7 linked regions of the Macaca fascicularis genome follow. The protein of the gene in region 2 interacts with the protein of the main gene of each other region in a pairwise test. Links are inferred from orthologs where the notes say so. Each region holds a gene or a part of one and is shown on either strand. Other genes may lie near its edges.

Region 1 (4,292 bases), on a different chromosome or scaffold from region 2:
TACTCACCCCTGTCCCCACCCTCCAGAAACAGCTATCCTAGGTGTGAGATATAATTCCTACCCTGAACTTTGCCTGTTCACCACGTAAACAGCTTTGTTTCTTGCTTCATATAAGACTTCAAAAAGTAAATGGGGTCTTATCATGCTCTCATTTCCATTATCGCTGAACCTGCTCTGCTCCTCTTTACGCTGACATTTTCCTACTAAAGCCACGCTCAGAGCCAGAGACTTGCTTCCTGAGAATTCTGTCCCCAGGCCCAGGAGTAACAGCCCATGGTTTACTGAGTGCTCACCATGTAGCAGGGAAAGTTCTAAATGCTGCATGGGTATGATCTCATATAATCCACACCTATCAGGTGATTAATATGAAGCCCCATATCTCATTTAATCAACACTGAGGTTTACCAGTACAAATGAAATATCTTGCCTCAAAAGGCCTTAAACAGTAAGGAAATGTGTTATCTAAATTAATTAAAGGTTATAAAGTGAAGTTGGCTCCAGACATGGTACAATGAGGGAGGACATCTGGACAGATATAAATGAGAACTCTGAACCCCTCACATCCTCCTAAACCTTTCTAAGAGGTAGTCCTGTCAAATCCCCAACCAAGCTGCTCTGCATTAAACATTTCAATGACTTAACCTGGGGCAATGGCCTCACACAGGTATGCAGTTTCTTCTCAGCAGCCACCCCCTTCACTGCTCTGAACCCTCCAGGCCCAGAGATCTCAGCATAGCCCCCAGATAGCAGTACAAAGTCTGATTTAAGAGATAACCAAGCATCTTGCTAATTTCCATAGGGAGGAATCTGGGACACATCTATGAGTGGAAATTCTAAGGATGTCTGCCCAAGGAGGATGAAATGTTTGTTAAGATCAGGGTATATCTTTATGGATGCACTTGCCCAGGATCTGGGACTTAATGTTAGCTAGAGCACCTGTAAGTGACATGTTGGCTATTTGGAGTTTGAAAGTGACAATGTACTATGTTGGCTCTCTGGAGCCTGAACTCAACAGCTGCATATAGGCAATAAGGATTAAGGGGCAGAACTTCCCTGGCACAATATTAAGGAATCCAAAAGCTCAGAGAATTAGGAGCAATACATATATATGTCCTGGTTTATGCCTGTTGTTATGGTCTAATTATTAATACTGCCCTCTTTGCCATCTGCTCAGCCAACCCTTACCCATGCCACCCTGGAGGACCCAGAGAACACACCCTTTGCCAGGGCTTTAAGAAATGCGTTGGTGAAGGAAGCATCAGAACCCTGACAAAGCCCTGAGGTAGCTGTCCCCAGCAGCCTGGAGTTGACAGCAGGGATTCCTAGGATTGGTTGTATTCCCTGATTTCCATGGGAATAACGGTAGTCACAGTGACAGTTCTAGAGGTCAGTGATAGCACTTAACTATTAAAAGACAGTCATTTCGTTTTTTAGTGCTTGATATTTATTGAAAATAATGCCAATGCTTTTTCCAGGTAGTATTGAGGAGCTGGGCTGAGTGCTTGTTTGTTTTGTTTTTAGTACTATTTGTCCAAATGCATACATCTGTGGGACTGCTGCAATTTTGAAAGAAAAATGACAGCTGTGTAAAACCAGTGCATAGGAAAAAAGAAATATCAACAATTTGGCTGTCAGGCACACCGCGCCCCTGCAGCAATCTGGTATGGCAGGGGAGGACACTCGGAGTAGGTAGAAAACTAACCAGGCTGAATGATTGGCCTCTTCAGGGGTTGGTGAGCTGTCCAAATCAATGTCCGAAGAGGCAGAGCCAACTCTGGCATTTTCCAGGTTGGTCCTGATCTCGAAAGGCGGTAGTCTGTAGGTGGGATGTGGTGAGTGGATGTGAAGTGGCAGCATAGTTCTCTGGGCAGATGTAAGCCTGGCAGCAGGGCAGGTGGCAGCAGCAGGGCTATGGGTGGTCTGCGCAGTTTGTAACAGGGGCCTGGCCAATAGCTGGGGTTCAGGACACAGTTCAGATTAGCAGGGGAGGGATCCCCGGGATGGCCAGGGTAGATGACACTTCCAAGCACTTCCGAGTGAGTGAGGCTCCAGCCCCAACCCCAGCAGCAGGTAACTGGAGCACTATTCCTGGAACAAAGACAAGCACTACGGAGAAATGAAGAAAGAGCAGACGGGCGCGGGTAGGGAAGGGGACCGGAGGGCAAGGGGGAGAGCAGTGGCTCCTGGCGGGGTGAGGGCTGCGGGGAGGGGGTGACGGCGTGCAGGGCCCTCCCCCCGAGGCCCGAGGGCCTAGTAATTATCCTCTTCGTCCTCGTCGTCGTCGTCTTCGTCGTCATCCCAGCCAAAGCACTGTTTCATCTCATCGAGGAAGGCTCGGTAATCACCTAGGATGGGGCTATCCATCTCGATGTAGGGCACCACCCACTCCTCGGCTTCCCCGGTGAGGAGACTGATTAGGAATGCCACCTTCATGGCGTCGTTGCAGAATCGGTTCTCGTTCACGAGCATGTAAGACGCTGTCTGCACGATAAACTCGGGGAGCCGGGAGCTCTCGCCATTAAACGTTTCGGGGAAGGGCACCGGGCAGCTCGGCGGACGTACCTGGCGCAGCAGGCTGGCCCTCTCGCACACCAGCAGCCGCAGCTGTTCCATGAGCTGGCTGTTCTCGATGGTCAGGGCGCGGTGCCGCATCAGGAGCGCGTGCAGCAGCAGCACCAGCTCATCCACCATTGCGAACAGCCTGGAAGGACAGGGCTCGGCTCGGTTCGGCTCGGCCAAGGTGCGCACGGAGGCCTCGCAGGAAGTGCGTGTCCACGGAGACGCTCGATGGCCAGGGGCTGGGGGCGGGGGGCGGTGCGCGCCGGGGTCCGGGAGGCTACGCAAGCTCCGCCCACGAGGCCATTCGGACGGATGGTGCGCCGGCGCGGCGCGGGAGGGGCGTGGCCAGACTGGGGGCCGCGGCTGCGTGGGGGCGTGGCCGGGATGGGAAGGGTTTAGACAAAGAGGGCGTGGCCAGGAAAAGGATGCACTGGGTCGCTGAACCACCGGCTTGTGGTAGGTCTCTAGGCGGGCAGTTAAAGGCTGGGGTAGGCTCCCCTAGCTCCTGGTTGTGGGGCCTGCGTTAGCAGAGGACCTGGCGAGCGCTGAGTTTGGTCTCAGAGAAGGCAAATTTGTTCAAACTGAAAGGATTAGCCACCCTTCTACCTAGGCAACTCTCACAACTCAGTTGTTCCTTCGTGGGTCTGTGGCCACTAGATTCTCTTGGCGTGATGTTTTATTAACACATTTTCTTTCTTGTTTAAATCTCACTCAGAGAAGTATTGACACTGCTGGCTGCACTGTGGGACTCACACTTCCTTTTAGGATCATGAAGACCTTCAGGGGTTCCTGCCTTTCATGAAAAAGGCAGTATTTAAACAGTGACTTCTTTAGTAGGGGAATAATACGGCATACTCCCTTAAAACAAACAAACAAAAAAAAACAAACCTAAGTAGCAGGATATAAAGAAGTTTTGCAAAATGAGCATCCAATAATCAATTGCAGGCATCCCACATATCTTTGATTCTCTATTTCTTGTCCTGCTGTTAGTGCCTTTGGCCACTGGGTTTTATTCTGTACTTAAAAATGAACTGTTAAGATGTTTGTGTTTTTAAATAATTTTGTTTTTCTACTTTAAACGGATCCCTGATCCTAGAGCCGACAGGAATTGTTGGCTCTGCTTTCAAATATATTGCCAATTCAGTCATGACTTGTCATTTCTACCACTGCCACCCTGATCCCCAGCCTTTCTCACCCAGACTGCTGCAACTAATCACTTAGCTTTCACTCTTTTCTTCCTATAGTATATTCTCCATAGAGTAGCCACAGGAATCCTTTAAAACAAAAATTAGGGCCGGGCGCGGTGGCTCACGCCTGTAATCCTAGCACTTTGGGTGGCCAAGGAGGGCGGATCACGAGTCAGGAGATCGAGATCATCCTGGCTAACAGGGTGAAACCCTGTCTCTACTAAAAATACAAAATATTAGCGGGGAGTGGTGGCAGGTGCCTGTAGTTCCAGCTACTCAGGAGGCTAAGGCAGGAGAATCGCTTGAACCCGGGAGGCGGAGGTGGCAGTGAGCCGAGATAGCGCCAGCGCACTCCTCCAGCCTTGGTTACCAAGCGAGACTCCATCTCTAAAAAAAAAAAACAAAAACAAACAAACAAACAAACAAAAACAGTTAGATCCCTTCACGCCCCTGCTCAAAATCCTCCAGTAGTTTCACCTCAGAATAAAGAGCAAAGTTGCAGCCAAGGCCTACAAGGCCCCTCCTTCTATCCTGTGCCTCTTCCCA
Region 2 (2,690 bases):
GCCCTGCTGCTTATCATCCATCCACAAGGCCCGGGGCAAGTCATTTTTCTCTCTGCCTCCAGTGACCTCATCTCTAAGGTGGAAATAATAAATCCCGACCACCTACAATGGTGAGGATTAAATAAGCCCCCTGGGTGAGTGTGTGTGGCATCATGCCAGTCATGGGGTGGTGAACCAAGGCAATCAATGCAATCAGTCACTTGGTAAATATTCATAATTATAAGATGTGTCGAGTTCTGTGCTGGGTACACCAAACTGTTCTTAGGGAACCTTCCCACCTTCACTTCCCTGGTCACCCCATGGTGACCCAGAAGAGCAAATCACCTGAGTAGCACTATGTTTGCCCCAGCCACCAGTGCCCTGGGTACCCAGAAGAATTGTGGCCATGCAGGGAAGAGACCAAAGTAGGGGGAGATGTCACCACGTGGACCCTGGGTCTCCTCAGAGGTCAGAGGCCAACCAGGACCCCATCAACAAAAAATGGATATACTACCAAGAGATATTTGCAAAAGGAAAAGTAATTCTTTATTGCATGAACAGACACCATACAAATGAGCTTGTTACACAACGCAGCTGCTTCTGCACCTCCTTGCTCTAAAGAAGGCGGGGAGAGGTAGAGGGGGAACAGAGCGCATGCAAAGCCCTGAAATAAAAGACCGAGGGACCCTTTTCAGCTCTCTGAAGGCGGGGACTGGAGTTTGCACGTTCAGGCCCCCTGGCCAGTCCTCCACTTGGCCTGATGAGAGTGGGGAGTGGCAAGGGATGTTTCTCCTGCAATGGGCACTTAGATTTCTCTCTTGCGGGAAGAAACCACCTTTCCATCCACTGACTCCTCTACGTTGATGCGGAAATTGCTGCTGCTACCACCACCTCCAGAAGAGGCTAGAGAGAGAAGGAGCAGGCTTTAGAGTGGGGGAACCTCCCCTCTCTCCCAAGGTGGCCAGGACCTTGGCGAGGCTCTGGGAAAACTAGACAGCAGCCCTGAGAATGGCCACTGGCCAATCCCTCAAGAGCTGCCAGAGATCTGGTGTTGAATTGCTCATCACAGAGACAGGCAGTGGCAATGGCAGGTATGCCCAGCAGGGACAACAATGTCAGGGCTTTTCAAGCTGCACGTGAAGGGGGATGAATTGTGGGCATCTTATTGGAAGTGTATGAAGATGGGGCCTGGGGAGAGACAGGCCCTGAACGAAGCCTACTCAACCCGGAAGTTTCTCAATAAATCACCAGCCCCAATCTCACCTGGGGCTGACAGGAGGTCCCACCGGGGAAGAGGCATCTAATGGAACGGGAATGTTCCCACCTAATGGGATGTTTGGGCTCTTTTTCCTTCCTCCCTATTCCGAAGGGAGTGGTGGCTTCAACATCTCCCCTCCCCACCCCATACCAGAGGAGTGAGGCCCTTCCTACCTTCCCTGATGCCAATGTCAGCCATCCTGAAAGAAAGAAAGAAGCTGATTTAAGCAAAGGGCACAAGCTCAGGTGTCTCTAAGGGAAGCTCATGTAGATGCTATGCAGTCCTCTTCAGACCCTACACCACCGCCACCCACACACCTGACCCCTCTAGAGGTGGGACATCCTGCTAACGCATCCAGGCCTGCTACCCCCAAGTAGACAGAATCTTTTTTTTGTTTTGTTTTGTTTTTTTTGTTTTTCGGGGGTTTTTTGTTTTGTTTTGTTTTGTTTTTGAGACGGAGTCTTGCTCTGTTGCCCAGGCTGGAGTGCAATGGCACGATCTCGGCTCACTAAAACCTCTGCCTCCCGTGTTCAAGTGATTCTTGTGCCTCAGCCTCCCCAGTAGCTGGGATTACAGGCACCCGCCACCACGCCTGGCTAATTTTTGTATTTTTAGTAGAGATTGGGTTTCACCATATTGGCTATGCTGGTCTCTAACTCCTGACCTCAAGTGATCCACCCACCTCGGACCCCCAAAAGTGCTGGGATTACAGGTGTGAGCCACCGAGCCCTGTCCAAATTGTGAACTACAAGAATACCCATCTATTTCATGCAGAGAATGGAATGAGCACTAGATCTTCACTACCACTAGCCCAGCCTCTATCATTTACAGAAGAAACATGGATCCAGAGAGAGGAAGTGACCTGCCCCAGGTAACAGCCAAGGACCAGAGTGCAGAGTCCAGATCCTCCCTCCTTGCTCAGTTCTCTTTTCACAGCCCCTCAAGGCTGCTTAGGGACATCCTGCCATTCCCTTAGGATGACCATGCTCCGCAGCCACAAGCAGCCCTCATCACTCCTGCCCCGGTGCCCAGGCGCCTACTTGGCATCCTGGCCCTCCAGCAGGCTGCGGTAGGTGGCAATCTCCTGCTCCAGCCGCGTCTTTATGTCAAGCAGCATCTTGTACTCCTGGTTCTGAGCCTCCATCTCGCATCGGAGCTCACTCAGCTGGGCCTCCAGGCCACCGATGAGCCCCTGGATCTGCTGCAGCTGCGTGGCATAGCGGCACTCTGTCTCAGCCAGCGAGTTCTCCAGCCCAGCTTTCTGGAGGAGTGACAGATGCATAGACACATCAGACTAGAAAGGAAGCCACTGAGGGCAAGCGGGGAGGGGGCACTGAATGGAGTTCAGGGAACCACCTCTTGAGGGGGCTTGAGAACTCCAAGGCTTAACTAGCCAGGAAGGGTGGGAGCTTCTACCACCCGAGAGGCTGGGATGAGGCGAGGGTGGCTGTAC
Region 3 (4,005 bases), on a different chromosome or scaffold from region 2:
CCGCAATTGAGATACCAATATGGTTGTCAACATGGAGAATTTTTTTCTGATGAGCTGCAAGCTCTGATTGTGCCCTCTAAATGGAGACATTATAAGATGTTAAAAAAAAAAATGTAAAAATAAGTTTACAACCTCACTGTCTATGGTGAAATTTACATTAATAGTTTTTTACAGAGGAAGACATATTTATTACTTTACTTACTTTCAATGCAACCAACACTGCATGAGTTTTTGATTTCAGACCAACTGTGGCTGAACCTTGTTTAACAGCTTCCATTGCATATTCAATTTGATGAATCCTGCCCTAAAGAAAAAAAAAACAAAACCACATCTTAGAAGGCCTTTTATAACTTAAAAATTAGAGTTTTCAAATGTCAGGTGGGCATAGTTAAATCTCAACTGATTTTTTTTTAAATCAAGAAACTTTTTTTTTGAGACAGGTTCTCACTCTGTCACCCAGGCTGGAGTGCAGTGGCACAATCTTCAGCTCAGTACAACCTCTGCCTCCTGGGCTCAGGCAATCCTCTCAAATCACCGTCCCCAGTAGCTGGGACTATAGGCAGGCACCACCACGCCCAGCTTATTTTTGTATTTCTTGTAGAGACCAGGTTTCATGTTGTTCAGGGTGGTCTTGAACTCCAAGACTCAAGCAATCTATCTTCCTCGGCCTCCCAAAGTGCTGGGATTACAGGCATAAGCCACTGCGCCTAGCCAAAAGCTTCTTTTAAAATAAATTTTGTTGTATATACTTAAGGTATGCAACATGATGTTGTAAGATACACATATATAGTAGGGTCACTATCGCAGAATGAACACATCCATTGTCTCACATACTTACCCATTTTCCTCTGCTGTGGCAAGAGCTATCAACTACTCACTTAGCAAAAATCCTGAATACAAAACACTACCTGCATTATTAGCTGTAGTCTTCATGTTGTACCTTAGATCCTTCCACTTGCTCAACCTACATATTTGATACTTAGTATCTCCTCTTTTTTCCTCCCCACTGCTATTCCCTACCCTGGTAACCACTGTTTTATTCTCTCTATATATATATTTGCTCTTTTAAACAAAACATTCCACATATAAGTGAGAGCATGAAATATTTTTCTTTCTGTTTCTGGCTTATTTCACTTAACATAATGTCCTCTAGGTCCATTAGGAGACCTATTTTAATTATAAATGCAACTTCCAAGAACGACTAAAATATTATATTCCATTTTCCCCAAGCCTATGCTCTCACAAGCTTCTAAATATATTGCAGCCACAAAAAGCCATTTCACAGAAATAGTTTAAAAAACATTATTTTACCTGCGGGCTCCAAACAGTGACATCATTGTCGTACTGATTTCGAAACTAAAAGTAAAAGAAAAAAAGACCTGTTAATAGAAGAACATTTCAAATCCCAACTCTAACATTCATTAAGAAATATGCTTGTGTTTCCATTCAATGTTAAGGCACTCTGTTCATGCAATCTTACTGGAAGATTACTACTGTACTCAGACGTAAGCCAATTCTACATTTACCATAAACTGGTGGGAGAGGGAGAAGCAGATCTAAATGGGTCCTATTTTTCCAACCTCTTATTCTAAAACCATCCATAGCAATCCCTTTAGGCTCAATTACTAAAGTTCACAATCAACTTTCTTGCCTATTTTTGCTTATGCTGCTCCCTTTTATTGGGACCTAATAAATGGTTAAAAGCCTTTCTCTTCTTTAAGTTAGCTTAAATGTCGATTTCTGGAAGTCTTCTCCTTTTCTTCCCAAATCCCCCTAACACATACTCCCACAGTTCTTTATCTAAACGTCCCTTTCTGTTTTTATGATTAGCTTTTCTTCCCAAATCCCCCTAACACATACTCCCACAGTTCTTTATCTAAACGTCCCTTTCTGCTTTTATGATTAGGGACATGTATGACTTTTGAACGTTCACTGTAGTTATGCTTGTACAAATGCTCTGTCTGTATATTCATATTGAATGAACAAAAATGTCCTCAGAAAGTTAGAGGTGGACACAAACAGCTGCAGCGATAGAACCATTACGGCTATTATGACTATTATAACAAGTCTAGCAGTGCTGGGGAGACTAATCACGGGAGTGAGATTGAGTGCGAGCACAGCACTGGAAACCCAGAACCCTATGTTGTAACCCAGATTCCATCACTTCCCCTCTCAGCCTCGGCTTACTCATCTGTAAATAGGTGACTGGACAAAATTATTGAAAAGGGCCTCTTCTAACCGAAGTCTAGGGGAGAGATAAATCAGACGGACCCACCAGGAAAATGGACGCGGTCCAGGAACACAAACCTGGGGGTCAAGTCCGCACTGGTGGTACAGGTAGGCCTCCAAGTCTCTGTCTTCTCCTCTCCCATACACAGCACTAGGGGCTATTCTGGACCGCTCAGAATCTACTCCACTGAAGGAACCTGAGGGGCGAACTCATCTAGCTGACAGAGGAGTAAGTGTCGGAGGCTCCCCGGGAAGCGAAAGCGGTGGAAAGGCCGCACTGGCTACCGACAGCCCCTAGCCCGGCCAGGCCGGAGATGCTGAATCACTGCCGGAGCCCGGCCGTCTGCCGAGGCTCCCATACCTCGTGGCCCCGGGCGGCGCTAAGGATGACAGGAGAGGTGGCTCGTCATCCCCCAGTCACCGGAGCTCTGCCCTAAACCTTCCAGAGGTCGGGATTCAACGTACCATGTTGGCGGCGCGGGCCTGGTTGCGGCCTCCAGCAAAACTGAGAATCAAGGAGGTGCTGCCGAAAGTATCGCTCAGCGATCTACAGAGAAGTCTGCGGGAGTCTGATGGCGGCGGCGCAGGGTAGCGCAGTCTATTCCAGAGATATCGATAGGCTTGCAACACTTCCCCTTCCTTAAAACTCTCCGACCGCTCGGCGGCGGGCGGAGCCTGGGAAGATCTAGTAACTGAGATTGGCGGGAAACCCAGGGCTGGGAGTGCCGGCGGCTGAGAGCTGCGGGGGACCCTCTGTCACGTAGCCCTTCTTGGTTCCTGTGTATTGCGGATTCCCTCCAGTTTCTCCCGGTGGCGGGCTGCATCTAAAGTCTTACGAGGCAACAGCCGTGACTCCGGGTGATACTAGCTCTCATTCACCGTCCACAGATTTTGGGGTGTTACGTGACTGAAAGAAACGAGGCTGCAGGAAAGCCCCAAGATAACGATCCGTTTCTGTGTGTCAGCCGTATTCTTCCTCGAGTATCTTGTTTGTGTACATGCTTTTATTTGTATTAAGGTTGGTGCAAAAGTAACCGCGGTTTTTGCCATTTGGCAAAATACCTTGGAATGCTCTTCCTTATTCCCTGGAGATGTTATCTTTCAAGGCTCTGTTGTCGTTAACCCCTCATTATTATTATGATTGGTTTCCTCCACCAGACTTTGAACTCCATGAGGGCGCTGTCTTTCTGTGTCCTCAAAACCAAGCATGATACCTGATTAGGCCACTGAGAAAAAATGGACACGTTCTTTCGATTTACCTATTTTGTCTTTTGAGAGCATCTTTCCGTAATGAAATAGTCTGACATCTTTGCAAACAGCTGCCAATCTAACATCCACCGGCTATTTACATTCTTTGTAAAAAAAGAGACTGGGTGCGGTAGCCTGTAATCCCAGCACTATCGGAGGCCGAGGGCGGAGGATCGCTTGAGCCCAGGAGTTCGAGATCACTATATTATTTTAATACAGTGGGACCTCGTCGCTACAATAATAATAATACTACTAAAATAAAAAAGGCTGGGCATGTTGGCATGCGCCTGTGGTCCCAGTTACTCGGGAAGCTGAAGTGGGAGGATCTCTTAAGCCCGGGAGATCGAGGTTGTAGTGAGCCGTGGTCGCGCCATTGCACTCCAGCCTGCCTGGGCGACAAAGATTCTGTTTCAAAAAAAAAAAAAAAAAAAAAAAGCCGGGCGCGGTGGCTCACGCCTGTAATCCCAACACTTTGGAGGGCAGAGGCGGGTGGATCACGAGGTCAGGAGATCGGACCATCCTGGCCAA
Region 4 (3,500 bases), on a different chromosome or scaffold from region 2:
CCCAGCCACCAGCCAGCTTTTATATGCCTCCCTGAGATTGGGAGGAAACATGGTTGCCCTAATCCATAGTGCTTAACCTCACTTTGGACTTCTGTGTAAACAACTCTTGGTGTTTACAAACCAAATAGCTATTTCTCCACTCCCAAACCTACCCTTGTGACAGAGTTAGCATGGCTGAACCCCCGGTTTGCCCAGTTCTGTTCTAATTTACACCAATTTTCCCAGTATAATTATTGATAGCACCCCCTTTGCCAGTTCGGAGGATTATTTGTTTGGTCTCTATGCCCTTGGCCATAGGATTCAGGGCAGGGGTATGGGGACCTGTGCTGTACCCCCATTTCGGTAGAGGAAGGATGGGGAAATGTATGCTGTGTATGGCCGAACACGCACATGTAAGAGTGACAGTCCTTGTGTGGAGGCGAAGACCAGTGGCTGCCGCACCCCAACCTCCACCCTTGACCACGGTCTCCACTCCTTGCTCTGCAGAGACAGGCAGGCACCCCAGGTGGTGGCAGTGGCAGTGGCAGTGGCGGGTCCCCAGAGCTCAGCGCCCTTCGGCTGTCAGAACAACTGCGCGAGAAGGAGGAGCAGATCCTGGCGCTGGAGGCCGACATGACCAAGTGGGAACAGAAGTATTTGGAGGAACGTGCCATGAGGCAGTTTGCCATGGATGCGGCTGCCACGGCTGCTGCCCAGCGTGACACCACTCTCATCCGACACTCCCCGCAGCCCTCGCCCAGCAGCAGCTTCAATGAGGGTCTGCTCACTGGTGGCCACAGGCACCAGGAGATGGAAAGCAGGTTCGGCATTGCAGGCCAGGCACCTGAGGTTTGGGAGGCGGGTGGCAATGTCCAGTCACTGCCCTGCCCTTGATCCCTGATAAACAAGCCGCTTTCCCCACACAGCTCAGCAGTCCCTCAAGCAAGCTGAACCTGCATGCTTGGCACACCAGGCGCTGTAAACTTGCATTTGCCTAGAAATACCGAGTCCTTGGTCTACCCAGGAGACTCTTACTGTGGAGGTGTTGGGTGCCGTTTAGGGCTTAGGCCCTGCCTCCTCTCTCCGGAGTGCTGCCCTCCAGGATGAGGGCTGTGCCTCCACTATCATCTGATGACTCTGGAACCCACCCTTGATGGCCTGCCTTTCCTGGTGTGGGAAGGGCCCAGGGCCTTATGCACTGGTGGTTTTCAGAGCCTGGGCTCTAAGGGCATCACATGCCAGAGCTGTGGTACCATTTCTAAGCCCCCTCTAGGTCCCTGCTACAAGCACAGAAAGATCCAGCCTGGCCGGGTTAGGGGAGGGGGGGTGCTTTTCCTCTAACTCCTATGAGGCGGGAAGGGTGGCTGGATCTATGGGTCTGACAGTGTGGGCATGGCCTCTCACCCCTCAGGTTAAAGGTGCTCCATGCCCAGATCCTGGAGAAGGATGCAGTGATCAAGGTCCTTCAGCAGCGCTCCAGGAGAGACCCTGGCAAGGCCACCCAGGGCTCCCTACGGCCTGCCAAGTCGGTGCCATCTGTCTTCGTGGCTGCGGCAGCAGGAACCCAGGGCTGGCAAGGGCTCTCTTCTAGTGAGCGACAAGCAGCGGACGCCCCTGCTCGGCTGACTACAGGTAAGAGGAGGCTGCTGCTGGGATAGATTGAGAGGTAGTTTCTCCTGGGCCTGAACACAGATTGCCAGACCTTTCCTCCCAGAACTGAGGCTCATGGGAGCCAGGGCTTCCTGATTGTCTCCCAGGGGAGCTGGCTTATTCTCTACCTCCAGTGACTCTACAGCCCATGGCTCTCCTGCCAGTGTGAAGAGGGGTATTTCGTCCCCATCGCCGTAAATTCCATCATGCTTTAGCCCCAGCCACTGAACTGAGAAAAATAGAGCTTCCTGTGCAGATGCACCTTCTATGCAAGCCCCCTCCACTCTTCCTTCTAAGCAGATGCCACAGAAACTCTAGAAGATTTAATCTACAAAGAAGGGTCCCACCACCCAAAACATTTGGAAGCCAATCCAATCTGGTAGTCATTCCCATTTTAAAATAGGAGCATTTTTAGTCTTAAAGTTCTTGCAGATCAAGAGCAGCCCACTCCACCTTGAATCCCCAGCAAGGACAGTTAACTTACAGTGTCCTTCACCAGGGCCACATCTTACAGGTGTGGCAATAACCATCCACCTACCTTCCCAGCAGACAGGGCACCCACAGAGGAGCCAGTGGTCACACCTCCCCCTGCTGCCCATGCCAAACACGGGAGCAGAGATGGGAGCACCCAGACTGACGGCCCCCCAGACAGCACCTCCACCTGCCTGCCACCGGAGCCTGACAGCCTTCTGGGGTGCAGCAGTAGCCAGAGAGCAGCCTCTCTGGGTAAGTCCTTCTGACCCCACTTCTGTGCTAGGCAGGGCCAGGGGAGCACTGGGGTGTGAACTGGAACACCAAAGCCTTTTCTTCCCAGCCCCCTCGGGGTCATTGCCTGTACTCCATGGGGAGCCCTGCATAGCCAGAGGTGAGCAGCGTGCCTGGCCCACCTCACTGTGAACATGAAGGGTGGCTGGCTGCATGAATAGGGAAATTGGAAACCCTGATTAGAGGCAGATCCAGAATTCAGAAAGAAAGCAACCAGATGGGAGGCACTTAAGCTCCTCTTTCATGGTCTTCCCTACATAGTTAATTTCCAATTTGATTATCCAAGAGAATGGAGCTTGCAAGTCATGCCGATGGCACTCTGGAAGCCTGTTGAGAGTCCGGGAAAGAGAAATCTGAGAAGATGCCATTTCTTTTTCCACTCCCCTTTCACACTGGCCTTTGCATATTTGCCTGTGCCTCCTGATCTCAGAAAACCACAGGCATGAAAAGAATGCTGCAGCCTCCCTCCCTCAGGCTCTCCATTGCTCTGTCTAAGCCCTCCAACCAGTTCAAAGTTAGAAACAAATGCATCTTACACATCGGAGGTTGGTGGGCTGGGCTGAGCACTGAGAGGGTGCAGAGCATTGTGCTTGGTTGGCCAAGTTCTGGGAACCTGGGCAGCAGAGGTGGGAAAAGTTGGTGAAGAAAGATCGTTGTATTTAAAATGTGCCAGGATTTTAAAAGCAATCTAGTAACACTCATTGGCATGTGCCTGTGTTCTTGTCTCTCTCCAGACTCTGTAGCTACATCCAGAGTCCAGGACTTGTCAGACATGGTGGAGATACTGATCTGAAGGAGGTGGTGCTTCAGGACTCTGAGCCATTCTCTCCCCTCCTCTGCCCTGTGCCACTCTCAGCCATTTCAGCAGCCTGTCAGCCGCTGCTTTGTCCCTTTCCCCAGCCAGACTCTCATTCCCATTGACCATCTGGCCCCAGGAGCTCAGGAGGAGGACCCCAGGGGAGAGGAGAACTGTGAGAGCACCAGCACCCCCAGAAGACTCTGCTTCTTAGCCCACATTCCTCCCGGCCTTATGGAGAATGAGGATTCAGCCTTGACTTGTTGCCCAAGGCCTGCTACTGGGGTAGCAACTGACAGCTCAGAAAGGT
Region 5 (3,477 bases), on a different chromosome or scaffold from region 2:
ATCTCAATAGTGTCCCCTTTATAAAAATGAAACAATTCTGGATTCCAAAGCAGGTTTCCCTGCCTCCCATGCCCACCACCCCAGGGGTTTGGGCCACTGAAGTTTGGGCACACCTGCCTGGTGGAAATACTGGGAGGGGAGTATCATGCATGGGTGCTGAGCCGGGCCAGGCTCCTGGTAGGACTTCTGTGGCTTCTGGGATCATTAATGCTTCACCCCATCCTTCCAACTAACCCTTGGTAGTCTCTGACCCCTGCCTCCCACCAGGAGCTGACTGGCCAGCTGCCCCCTGAGTGCCCACTAGAGCCTGGTGAACGGCCCCAGTTGGTCCGCCGGCGGCCCCCCACAGCCCGTGCCTACCCTCCACCACACCCCAACCAAGCACACCACTCCTTGTGCCCTGCTGAGGTGAGCAGATGGGTGTGGAGAGCAAGAGGGTGGGGAGAGGGGACAGGTACAGAGGAGTAGCCAGGAGGAAGGTGTGGGGAGGGGGGCTTGTGGCCAGGTGAGGGAGCTTGTGGCCAGGTGAGGGAAAGGCTAAGCTGAGAAGGAAAAGGGCTTCTGGAGGTAGGTTCCTGCAATGAGGGAGGATGCTGGTCCCTAACTGTCAGGACAGGCCTCCCACCCTCAGGAAGATGAATCGACCCAGCCCTTCACCCTGACCCGCCCCCTCCCCCAGGTGAATAAGCTCCACCTGTAGGTGAATAGGCCTGAATAGGCTGCAGGAAGTACAGGCCAGCCTCTAGTGGGTTTGGCCCCACCAGGTCCCTGTTCCTGGCCATTTCCAACATTTGGGTGGGCCTGACAGGAGCTGGCTCTTGAGGCCCTGGAGCGTGAGGTGTCAGTGCAGCAGCAGATCGCGGCAGCTGCCCGTCGCCTGGCCCTGGCCCCTGATCTGAGCACCGAGCAGCGCCGGCGCCGTCGCCAGGTCCAGGCAGACGCACTGAGGAGGCTGCACGAGCTAGAGGAGCAGCTCGGGGATGTCCGGGCCCGCCTTGGCCTCCCAGTGCTCCCGCTGCCCCAGCCACTGCCACTGTCCACGGGGTCAGTGATCACCGCCCAGGGAGTCTGCCTGGGCATGCGCCTCACTCAGCTCAGCCAAGGTGAGCATCCCCTGGAGAGGGTGGGAGAGTGGACACTGGCAAATGAACGTGGTAGGGCTGGGATGGCTGAGTGGCCAGTGAAAACCGGGAGGTAGGCACAGCTCAAGTGGCCCAACCCGTGAGAAGAGTTGTGACAAACTGGCTTACCGGAAAGGACAAACTGTGGGAGACTGATGAATATCTGCCCGGACAGTCAGGAACCAAGCTGGGGTGGTCTTGGGCTCTGGTAAAAGCAGATTCTTGGGAAGGGAACAGGATGAGGCGGAAACTGGCCAGAAGGTGGCCCAAGTAGAGGTGCCCACCCAGTGGTGTAAGGGGGCGGCACCCAGGCCTGGGAGTGAGAGGCACACTTCTCCCCCTCTCACCTATAGAGGACGTAGTTCTGCACTCAGAGAGCAGCTCCCTCTCAGAGTCTGGGGCCAGCCATGACAACGGTGAGGACTCCTGTCCCCCAAACCTGCCCCCGACTCCTATGTCCCCTCAGCCCATCCCCTTTATTCATCCGACCACATCCTGCATGATCAGCCCATCCTTTGATGCCCAGCCCCTCCTGTGCTGCTTCAGCTTCTCCTTAGCTATGCTCCATCTTCCTGTAGGTCCCCCATCTTCTTAGCCTCACCCCACCCCAACCCCCAGCCCCACAGCCCCAGAACCTACTCGTCAGCCTTAGCTCCTCCTCAGTCTGCTTAACCTGTCCCAGCACTTTGCCCCTCCCCATGGCCTTGCCCACGAGCCTGTCCTGCCCCCTCTGGGCCCCCCTCATTGAATTCTATCCCACTTGCTCTCTTCCACTCAGAGGAGCCCCATGGCTGTTTCTCTCTGGCCGAGCGCCCCTCACCACCCAAGGCTTGGGACCAGCTGCGGACAGTATCCGGGGGGAGCCCTGAGCGGCGAACCCCATGGAAACCACCCCCATCAGATCTTTACGGGGATCTGAAGAGCCGACGGAACTCTGTGGCCAGCCCCACCAGGTGAGAATGAGCCCCTCCTCCCCTCCGCAGGAGCTGGGAATGGGATAGTAAGCCTGGGCTGGCAGAGGGTCTGCTGGTGGGTACAGTCTCTAACCTAGGCCTGCCTGTCACTGTCTAGCCCCACACGCTCGCTGCCCAGGAGTGCCTCCAGTTTTGAGGGGCGAAGTGTGCCTGCCACCCCAGTCCTCACCCGGGGCGCTGGCCCCCAGCTCTGCAAGTAAGGGGAATCTGAGGGTGGCCTGGAGGATCAGAGGGGAGGGAACCATTAGTTCTCACTGGAAGCTTGAGGACGGCATTATCAAAAGGTGTGGGATCGCTGGGCGCGGTGGCTCATGCTTGTAATCCCAGCACTTTGGGAGGCCGAGGTGGGCGGGTTACTTGAGGTCAGGGGTTCAAGACCAGCCTGACCAACATGGTGAAACCCCATCTCTACTAAAAATACAAAAATTAGCTGGGTATGGTGGGGCATACCTGTAATCTCAGCTACTTGGGAGGCTGAGGCAGGAGAATCGCTTGAACCTGGGAGGCAGAGGTTGCAGTGAGCTGAGATCAAGATTGTGCCATTGCACTCCAGCCTGGGCGACAAGAGCAAAACTCCATCTCAAAACAAAAAAACAAAAGATGTGGGACATGGGAGGCTGGGAGTTAAAAGTGAGCAGGCATCTCGGTGGATAATGGGGTAGAGATTTGGGGCAGAAGCATCAAAGTTTTGAGTATGGGCTTTTCTGTGCATTTTGGACAAGCCATTCTCCTTTTCTGAATCAGTCTCCTCATTTGTGAAATGGAAATAATAGTATCTGCCTTTGAAAAACATGGACATAATAAGTTCTGGTTAACATATACTGAGTGTCTGCCACCTGCTAGGAATTAGTGGCACCAACTCATTCAATCATAATGAGATCCCTGTGAGGTGGGTGCTATTGTTATTCCCATTTTATAGATGAGGCAAATGAGGCACAGAAAGGTTAAGTAACTTGTTAGTAAACTGAAGTCCTGGAGTTTGAGCCCAGGCAAGTTTTACTCTAGAGTCCATGCTTTTAACCATTGTCCTCTTCTGCTTCTGCTTCTTAAACAGAGTGCCTACTTTCCCCAGGCTCTGAACAAAACCAAGTCCCCGGCTTGCATTCTGTGAATGGTGGCTGTTGGGATGGTAGCTTTGGGTGGTTCATACATATGGTTGGATAGAGAATTCAGGCAGGGTTTTACGTGTGGGCCCTAAGGCCTAGGACTCAATCCTGGAGGCCGTGGGAGCCGTGAGAAGGGCCTTAGCATGGGGAGGGGTCAGCTGGATTAGGAAGAGCCCCCTGCCCGGCACCTACTCTGCTAGCCTTTCCTCTGAGTCCCTACACAGATTTACACCTCTCTTGGAGCTAACAGTGCCAGGCCTCCCCCACGCATTTCTA
Region 6 (3,500 bases), on a different chromosome or scaffold from region 2:
GTCTTTTGCTCTGCTTTTCCCTTCTTCTAGTTGATGAGATGCTTAGTAATTTTAATGGTCTTTTCGAAGAAACAGTTTTACAATTTATTCTTTCCACTATTACATTTTTTAGTTTTTCACTAATTTCACATTTATCTTTCTTTCTTTTTAGTTTCTTTTGGCTTATCTTGATATTCCTTTTCTAATTTGAGTACTCAGTTCCTTTATTTTTCACATTTGATCTTTTAAAATGAGATTTTTTATGACTGTAAATTTTCCTCTGAGTACAGATTTGGCTGTTTCCCATTGGTACTGGTATGTAATATTTCTCTTTCCATGATAGTTTATAATTTCAGTTGTTATTATTCTTTTAATTCCTCTTGTTAATTTGTAAATTCTATTGTTGTTTTTCGACCATTATGGTTACACTCCTTTTTCTAGCACTCAAAATAAAAAATTTTCTGAACTATTTTATGAAATTTATGAGACATCGATAATCTCACAGCTGTTTCCCATTGGTACTGGTATGTAATATTTCTCTTTTCATGATAGTTTATAATTTCAGTTGTTATTATTCTTTTAATTCCTCTTGTTAATTTGTAAATTCTATTGTTGTTTTTCGACCATTATGGTTACACTCCTTTTTCTAGCACTCAAAATAAAAAATTTTCTGAACTATTTTATGAAATTTATGAGACATCGATAATCTCACAGAAGCTTCCCTTGCACTAAGATACTTTATTTCTTCACTGCTTTCCCTCAAATTCTCACTAAAATATGAACTTTAGGATATTTTTATTCTCCTCACTCAACCCTATGAGACCTGTTTTCCAATTTCAAAGTTCTACTGAAAGAATTCAGTACTTCTAGTTTCACATTATTATTTTAGTCTTTTTTTTCTATTTAAAAAATCCATATTTAGTACATTATTTCACATACACAGCCTTATAAACACTGGGGGAAAAAAATCCAAATTACTACCTGTAAAGTTCTATGGGAAAGATCCATGAGTTTCCTCTTGTATTGCGCAATTTTGGCTACAGATGTAGTTTGATTCTTTTGTAGCTCACTAATATCTTCAGATATGATCTGTTTAAGAAAAAATTGGGGGGGTGTTAATCAAATACCACAACTATTTATCAGTTACACCTGTATGGAAATTCTAATCTTGGGATAAGCCGGAGATGCATCCCTCAAAATATAAACTCTTTCCCTACAAATCTATGCTTATATTTCTTCCCTTTTTACATACCTAAAAATTTTTTAAAAGAATCATGCAAAGATATCTTTACAGCTCTAGGAAATTTAGCAATGAGGCAATACATAGAAAAAAATAAGCTGGGCATGGTGGCTCACACCTGTAATCCCAGCACTTTGGGAGGTCAAGGCGGGCAAATTACTTAAGGTCAGGAGTTCAAGACCAGCCTGGCCAACATAGTGAAACCCCGTCTCTACTAAGAATACAAAGAAGTAGCTGGGCGTGGTGGCGCGCACCTGTAATCCCAGCTACTTGGAAGGCTGATGCAGGAGAATCACTTAAACCCAGAGGACGGGGCCGAGATCGTGCTACTGCACTCCAGCCTGGGCAACAGAGTGAGACTCCATGTCACAGAAACAAAAAACAAAAAAAAAAGAGTGAGACTCCATCACACACACACACACACACGCGTGCGCACACACACACAGCTGGGCACAGTGGCTCACTCCTGTAATCCTAGCACTTTGGGAGGCCAAGGCAAGAGGAGTGCTTGAGACCAGGATTTTGAGACAAGCTTGGGCAACATAGCAAGACCTTGTCTCTACAAAAAATAAAAAATTAACCAGGTGGAGTGCTATATGCCTGTAGTCCCAGCTCCTTAGGAGGCTGAGGTGGGAGGATGACTTGAGCCGTGATCACACTCCAGCATGTAGGGGTTGGGGGGAGGGAGGCGGAGAGAGAGGAAATTAAGGAATTTGAAGTAATATGGAATACAGCCAACAACCAGGTCTGAATGGAAGAAGTTAAGATGTATAAGATGATATCTAGGGGGTGTCTTAATAGACAAGTAGCCCTGTATGTAACTATTGACAGAAAGTACAGTACATTTCAACATTAACTGTTACAGAATACTTGGAGGGAGTCATCAGAGTGCAGAGGAAAAGGAGTGATATTAATGATGCAGCAGGATACATTTTTATGCCTCTGGATGTTTGACTTGCTATTTTACCTGACTGAAATCCACTATTCTGCCTTAGGAAGTCTTAACCTTACAGGGTAGGTTAAAACCTCACTATTTTATTAAAGCATCCCAATCAGAATTAATCCCATAATTGTCTCTATCATAATTAATCATTCTATGTCACTGGCTTATATTAACATGTTATAAGAAAGAGGATAAGACGATTGTGCAAGACATATTTTAGCACATCTACCTGCGCACATCACCTTTTAAAGAAACTTTCCAATGCCATGCCATGCTGAAAGGACAAAATTAGGTGGTCATGTTTTATATTACATAACCTAGGCAATCTCCCATCCCAATTTTGAAAAATCACCAGGGTTTTTAGATACAAGAGTACTTACGACATTATTTCCTACCAGTAATAACTAAAAAAATTAGACATGTTATCAGTCACAGTATTTACTAACAAATACTAAAACCATCTAGGAATTGACTCAAGCAAGAATGCTCAAGATTTTAAAAGGGAATATTTAAAAATTATTTTAAAGGACATAAAAGACCACAAGGATTAAAGAGACAAACCACATTCATGGATGAAATGATTTAATATTAAAATTCAATTCTCGCAAATGAGTCTTTGCATCTAATGCAATTCCAACCATAATTCTAGCATTCTGACAAATTGATTCTAAAGTTTTTATGGAAGAATAAAGATCCATAAAGACCCAGAAAACTCTGAAAAGAAGAATCAAGATTAGAGATTCATTCTACTAGATATTAAGATACACTACAAAGCCCTAACACTAAAAAATGTGGAATGGGTGGGTATAAGAACAGACCAACTGACCAATGATACATAAGAGAGGGTCTAGAAATAGATCACATATATATGGAAACTTAGTGTAATTTAAATTCTTTGATAATCATTGAGGAATATCACATTTTTATAGGCAATATTAAAAATATGGACCCACTATTTAGAGAAAAATAAATCTGGGTTCATACCACATACTTGATATAAAGGTAAACTCCATGATGACAACAAAAGACTCAAATGTGGAAGGTTAAACTCTAAATTTTTTTAAATGTAGGATACTCTCAGAATTTAGGGTGAAAAATTATTGAGGCAAATTCCCAAAAAGAAAACACAAGGCAAACATTTAATGGATATCATTACATTAAAATTAAGGATTTCTCTTCAACTACAGACACCAAAGACAGAGTTAACAGAGAGATGAGAAGAAGATATTTACAATGTTAAGTTCTGGACAAGATGAACTAAGTACGTGCAACCCCAATCTTCCCATTTAATACAGCTATAAAACTGGGATGGAATACATGGGGCAGCTATTTTGAGGA
Region 7 (2,888 bases), on a different chromosome or scaffold from region 2:
ACCAGGTAAAAATGACCCAGTTTAGAAGTGTTTTAGTAAAATGTCTCTACTCATTGCATTGCACAAGTTAAAAATATTACAATAAGTCAGTTATAATTCCTTTGACTGTAAATGTACCTCAGTGTATGACTTTTATGTGTGAAGGTCATTACAAACAAGAAGTTTTACTGGGGGGAGTAGTAGGAAAGCATTACTTATTTTTTAAAAAGTTTTTACTGATTTGGTGTGGGAGCAAGTACACTGTTAATAGTTGGAATTTATGTGGTAGGTATGGGATATATATGGATTTATAGAAAATTTTGACATTTCTGCAGTGGAGTTCTGTTTTGGACAAAGTGTTTTATCAGTAACAAATTTGAATAAATGAAATACTATCAATGGAGGGCAAAGCACAAGCACTAATCTTATCTGAATAAGATTAGTTACTAACAGTACTGAGACAACAGGTACTAGATTTGTGGCTTTGCTATGTGTCGTAGAAAAAGCATTGGAGACTAAAGGAGTTTTTAGTAACTTTATTTTCTAAAACTCCATCCCACAAATATGTTTTCTTCGACATCTCCACTTCCTTTAAAAACAAACAGAAACAGACACAAGCTTATCTTGACGCAGGTTTTCAGTCAGCCGAATTCAGCTTTCAAAGAGGTGAGATCCACCAAAAGCAGCCGCGCGCTCGGCCTCTGCGCCGCGCTGGGTCTCCAGCAGCGCCGGATGACGTCCCCAAGGCGCTGCCCGGGGAGCGAGTCCTGGAAGACGGCAGCGGAGAGGGACGGGCGCAGGTCGTAGGCCACCACTGCGTACAGTATGTGCTGCCGCTCCCCCGAATAGGGCGCCTGCTTGGTAGTCATTTGCCAGAGAGTGATGGCAAAGGAATAAATGTCGGCTTTGGGCGTCACTCCCTCTCCTTTCAGGAGTTCCGGGGCGCGGTGGGTGTATGTGCCTCCAAGGGGGTAAAGGGGTGTCTGGAAGCACAGCAGATCTTCCAACTTCTCAGAGCAACCGAAGTCACTAATTTTACAGACATCCTGCTCACTGATCAAGATGTTCGCGGGCTTCAGGTCCAAGTGCACAATGCTTTGCGAGTGGAGGAAGAGCAGGCCGTTCACAACATCTAGGGAGTACTTGAGACACTTTCCCAAGGTTAACGGTCCTCCAGTGCTGCAGTGAGGCTCCCCCGCGTCCCCCTCAGGGTGGCCGGCGGCGCCGTAGATGACTTGGTGTAAAGTGACGTTGCCACCGAACTCCATGATGATGGTCCCTAGGCTGTTGGACCCCGCGGGCGTGCGCGTGCTGGCAGCCACCACGCGCACGATGTTATCGTGGCGCAGCCTTGCTACGTTGAGCTCAGCCCAGAAACTCCGCCGAGATGCTAGTCGGTTCTTAGTGCACTTGTTCACTTGCTTTATGGCCACAGGAACACCGTGGTAAGTCGCCTTGTACACCGAGCCAAACCCTCCGGCTCCCAGCCTCTGCAGCAAGCACACCTGCTCCCAGTCAATGGAGCACCAAGCCAGCCGGCGCGGCAGCCGCGGGGCCCGAGGAGGAGTGGCCCCCAGAAGCAGCTTCGCAGGGAGCTCTGAGGGACTGCTGCAGGGCCGGGCGTCCACCGACGGGGAAAACTCGCCGGGGAGGTAGGGGCGTAGGGCCAGGGGCGAGGGCATCGCACTTCGCAGGGGGACACCAGGGCCGCTGGGGTGAATGAAAAGACCAGGGGAAACCGCGGGACTTTGGAAACATGACTGACTACTCCTTGGCTCCACCCCTATCCCTTTTCTCCTTTTCCTTCATTTGTTTCAAATGAGCTACATCTGTGCTGTCACTCAGCAAGAGTTTTTATCAGATGGAGGGAGAAACCGGAATGAAGCACAGCAATCCCTTTCAGATGAAAGCATTTCCCTTCCACACTTGAAGTGAATTCTTATAAAAACAAGCTCATGCCAGATAAACAGCATGGAGCTGCCCCAGAACTCACCCCTCTTTTACATTATTTGTTTAACTATAATGAAATACTTTTTTTCAAGTCACATCCGCTGCACATTATCAGTCCTCAGACTAAAGAGACCACAAAGCACAATGAAATTGTTTCACACTTTGCAGGCTATAATGATTGTTAGTGTCATTCTCCAGCTGCATTAAATCACTTCCAGCAGTTATTGGCTGAGAGTTGAAATGCAAACAGCAGACATTTGTTTAACCAATTACAGGGAAAAACTAGGTGCAACATTCATATGGATAAAAAATTGCAACGTTAATCAATCCAAATAGAATCACTGATACAGGTCATAACACACACCTAAATTCATCAGTGGAAAGGAGAATCCCCTGACAGTCTATGCAACTTACACAGCAAATTAGCAAGACGTCTTAGCAACATATTGACTTTGTAACAATCCTTCCCTTTCAAGGCGATTTGGCCCACCCGGTCAGCTCACTTGCAAGAGAGATTCTAGACTTTGCAGTGAACGAGTTACAGAAGTTTTGAATCAGAGTTGGAGGAGAAAAAAGAACAGAATGATTCAGAGCTGTGATCAGGGCTTCAAATAATAACACATATGGGAGAATTGTAGAAGAGGAAAAATCTGAAGAAATAAAAATGGCACAAAATCACTAGTACCTACATATAATGTAGAAAACCAGAAGTTGGAATGAAATTCAGGGTATTGGCCATCAAACAACAAGTTCTTCCTTTCTGATTTTTATAATGAAAATTAATTTTCTACCAAGTGCAGTGAGTCATGCCTATAATCCCAGTGCTTTAGGAGGCTGAGGTGGAAGGACCACTTGAGGCCAAGAATTTGAGACCTGCCTCTACAAAAAATAATAATAAAGTTAGCTGAGTGTGGTGGCGCACTCCTGTAGTCCTAGCTACTTTGGAGGCTGGGGCGGGA

Evidence for each region.
Region 1: the proteins of KRT15 (region 2) and LDOC1 interact in a two-hybrid assay, tested with the Homo sapiens proteins (2 studies listed by BioGRID and IntAct). The two-hybrid records come from large-scale screens. The link is inferred for Macaca fascicularis from reciprocal best matches to the Homo sapiens genes KRT15 and LDOC1.
Region 3: the proteins of KRT15 (region 2) and PSMA1 interact in binary tests that used the Homo sapiens proteins (3 or more experiments, as listed by UniProt). The two-hybrid records come from large-scale screens. The link is inferred for Macaca fascicularis from reciprocal best matches to the Homo sapiens genes KRT15 and PSMA1.
Region 4: the proteins of KRT15 (region 2) and AMOTL2 interact in binary tests that used the Homo sapiens proteins (3 or more experiments, as listed by UniProt). The two-hybrid records come from large-scale screens. The link is inferred for Macaca fascicularis from reciprocal best matches to the Homo sapiens genes KRT15 and AMOTL2.
Region 5: the proteins of KRT15 (region 2) and CCDC120 interact in a two-hybrid assay, tested with the Homo sapiens proteins (2 studies listed by BioGRID and IntAct). The link is inferred for Macaca fascicularis from reciprocal best matches to the Homo sapiens genes KRT15 and CCDC120.
Region 6: the proteins of KRT15 (region 2) and NUP54 interact in binary tests that used the Homo sapiens proteins (3 or more experiments, as listed by UniProt). The two-hybrid records come from large-scale screens. The link is inferred for Macaca fascicularis from reciprocal best matches to the Homo sapiens genes KRT15 and NUP54.
Region 7: the proteins of KRT15 (region 2) and MOS interact in a two-hybrid assay, tested with the Homo sapiens proteins (2 studies listed by BioGRID and IntAct). The two-hybrid records come from large-scale screens. The link is inferred for Macaca fascicularis from reciprocal best matches to the Homo sapiens genes KRT15 and MOS.

What each region holds. Positions count from the first base shown.
Region 1 is NC_088395.1:147,494,884-147,499,175, reverse strand, and holds the start of LDOC1 (protein LDOC1), read right to left. Parts: upstream 2,801-4,292; 5' UTR 2,692-2,800; coding exon 2,251-2,691; 3' UTR 1-2,250. UniProt on the Homo sapiens protein: May have an important role in the development and/or progression of some cancers.
Region 2 is NC_088390.1:62,554,406-62,557,095, forward strand, and holds the end of KRT15 (keratin, type I cytoskeletal 15), read right to left. Parts: intron 2,499-2,690; coding exon 2,278-2,498; intron 1,437-2,277; coding exon 1,411-1,436; intron 883-1,410; coding exon 785-882; 3' UTR 501-784; downstream 1-500.
Region 3 is NC_088388.1:51,236,940-51,240,944, reverse strand, and holds the start of PSMA1 (proteasome subunit alpha type-1), read right to left. Parts: upstream 2,801-4,005; 5' UTR 2,698-2,800; coding exon 2,695-2,697; exon of another isoform or gene 2,308-2,694; intron 1,357-2,307; coding exon 1,312-1,356; intron 305-1,311; coding exon 203-304; intron 77-202; coding exon 1-76. UniProt on the Homo sapiens protein: Component of the 20S core proteasome complex involved in the proteolytic degradation of most intracellular proteins. This complex plays numerous essential roles within the cell by associating with different regulatory particles.
Region 4 is NC_088376.1:37,267,084-37,270,583, reverse strand, and holds part of AMOTL2 (angiomotin-like protein 2), read left to right. Parts: intron 1-486; coding exon 487-800; intron 801-1,390; coding exon 1,391-1,611; intron 1,612-2,175; coding exon 2,176-2,355; intron 2,356-3,128; coding exon 3,129-3,187; 3' UTR 3,188-3,500. UniProt on the Homo sapiens protein: Regulates the translocation of phosphorylated SRC to peripheral cell-matrix adhesion sites. Required for proper architecture of actin filaments.
Region 5 is NC_088395.1:49,224,088-49,227,564, forward strand, and holds part of CCDC120 (coiled-coil domain-containing protein 120), read left to right. Parts: intron 1-267; coding exon 268-408; intron 409-808; coding exon 809-1,103; intron 1,104-1,474; coding exon 1,475-1,537; intron 1,538-1,899; coding exon 1,900-2,074; intron 2,075-2,192; coding exon 2,193-2,291; intron 2,292-3,477. UniProt on the Homo sapiens protein: Centriolar protein required for centriole subdistal appendage assembly and microtubule anchoring in interphase cells. Together with CCDC68, cooperate with subdistal appendage components ODF2, NIN and CEP170 for hierarchical subdistal appendage assembly.
Region 6 is NC_088379.1:57,757,215-57,760,714, reverse strand, and holds part of NUP54 (nucleoporin p54), read right to left. Parts: intron 1,069-3,500; coding exon 961-1,068; intron 1-960. UniProt on the Homo sapiens protein: Component of the nuclear pore complex, a complex required for the trafficking across the nuclear membrane.
Region 7 is NC_088382.1:66,085,278-66,088,165, forward strand, and holds MOS (proto-oncogene serine/threonine-protein kinase mos), read right to left. Parts: upstream 1,746-2,888; 5' UTR 1,662-1,745; coding exon 621-1,661; 3' UTR 501-620; downstream 1-500.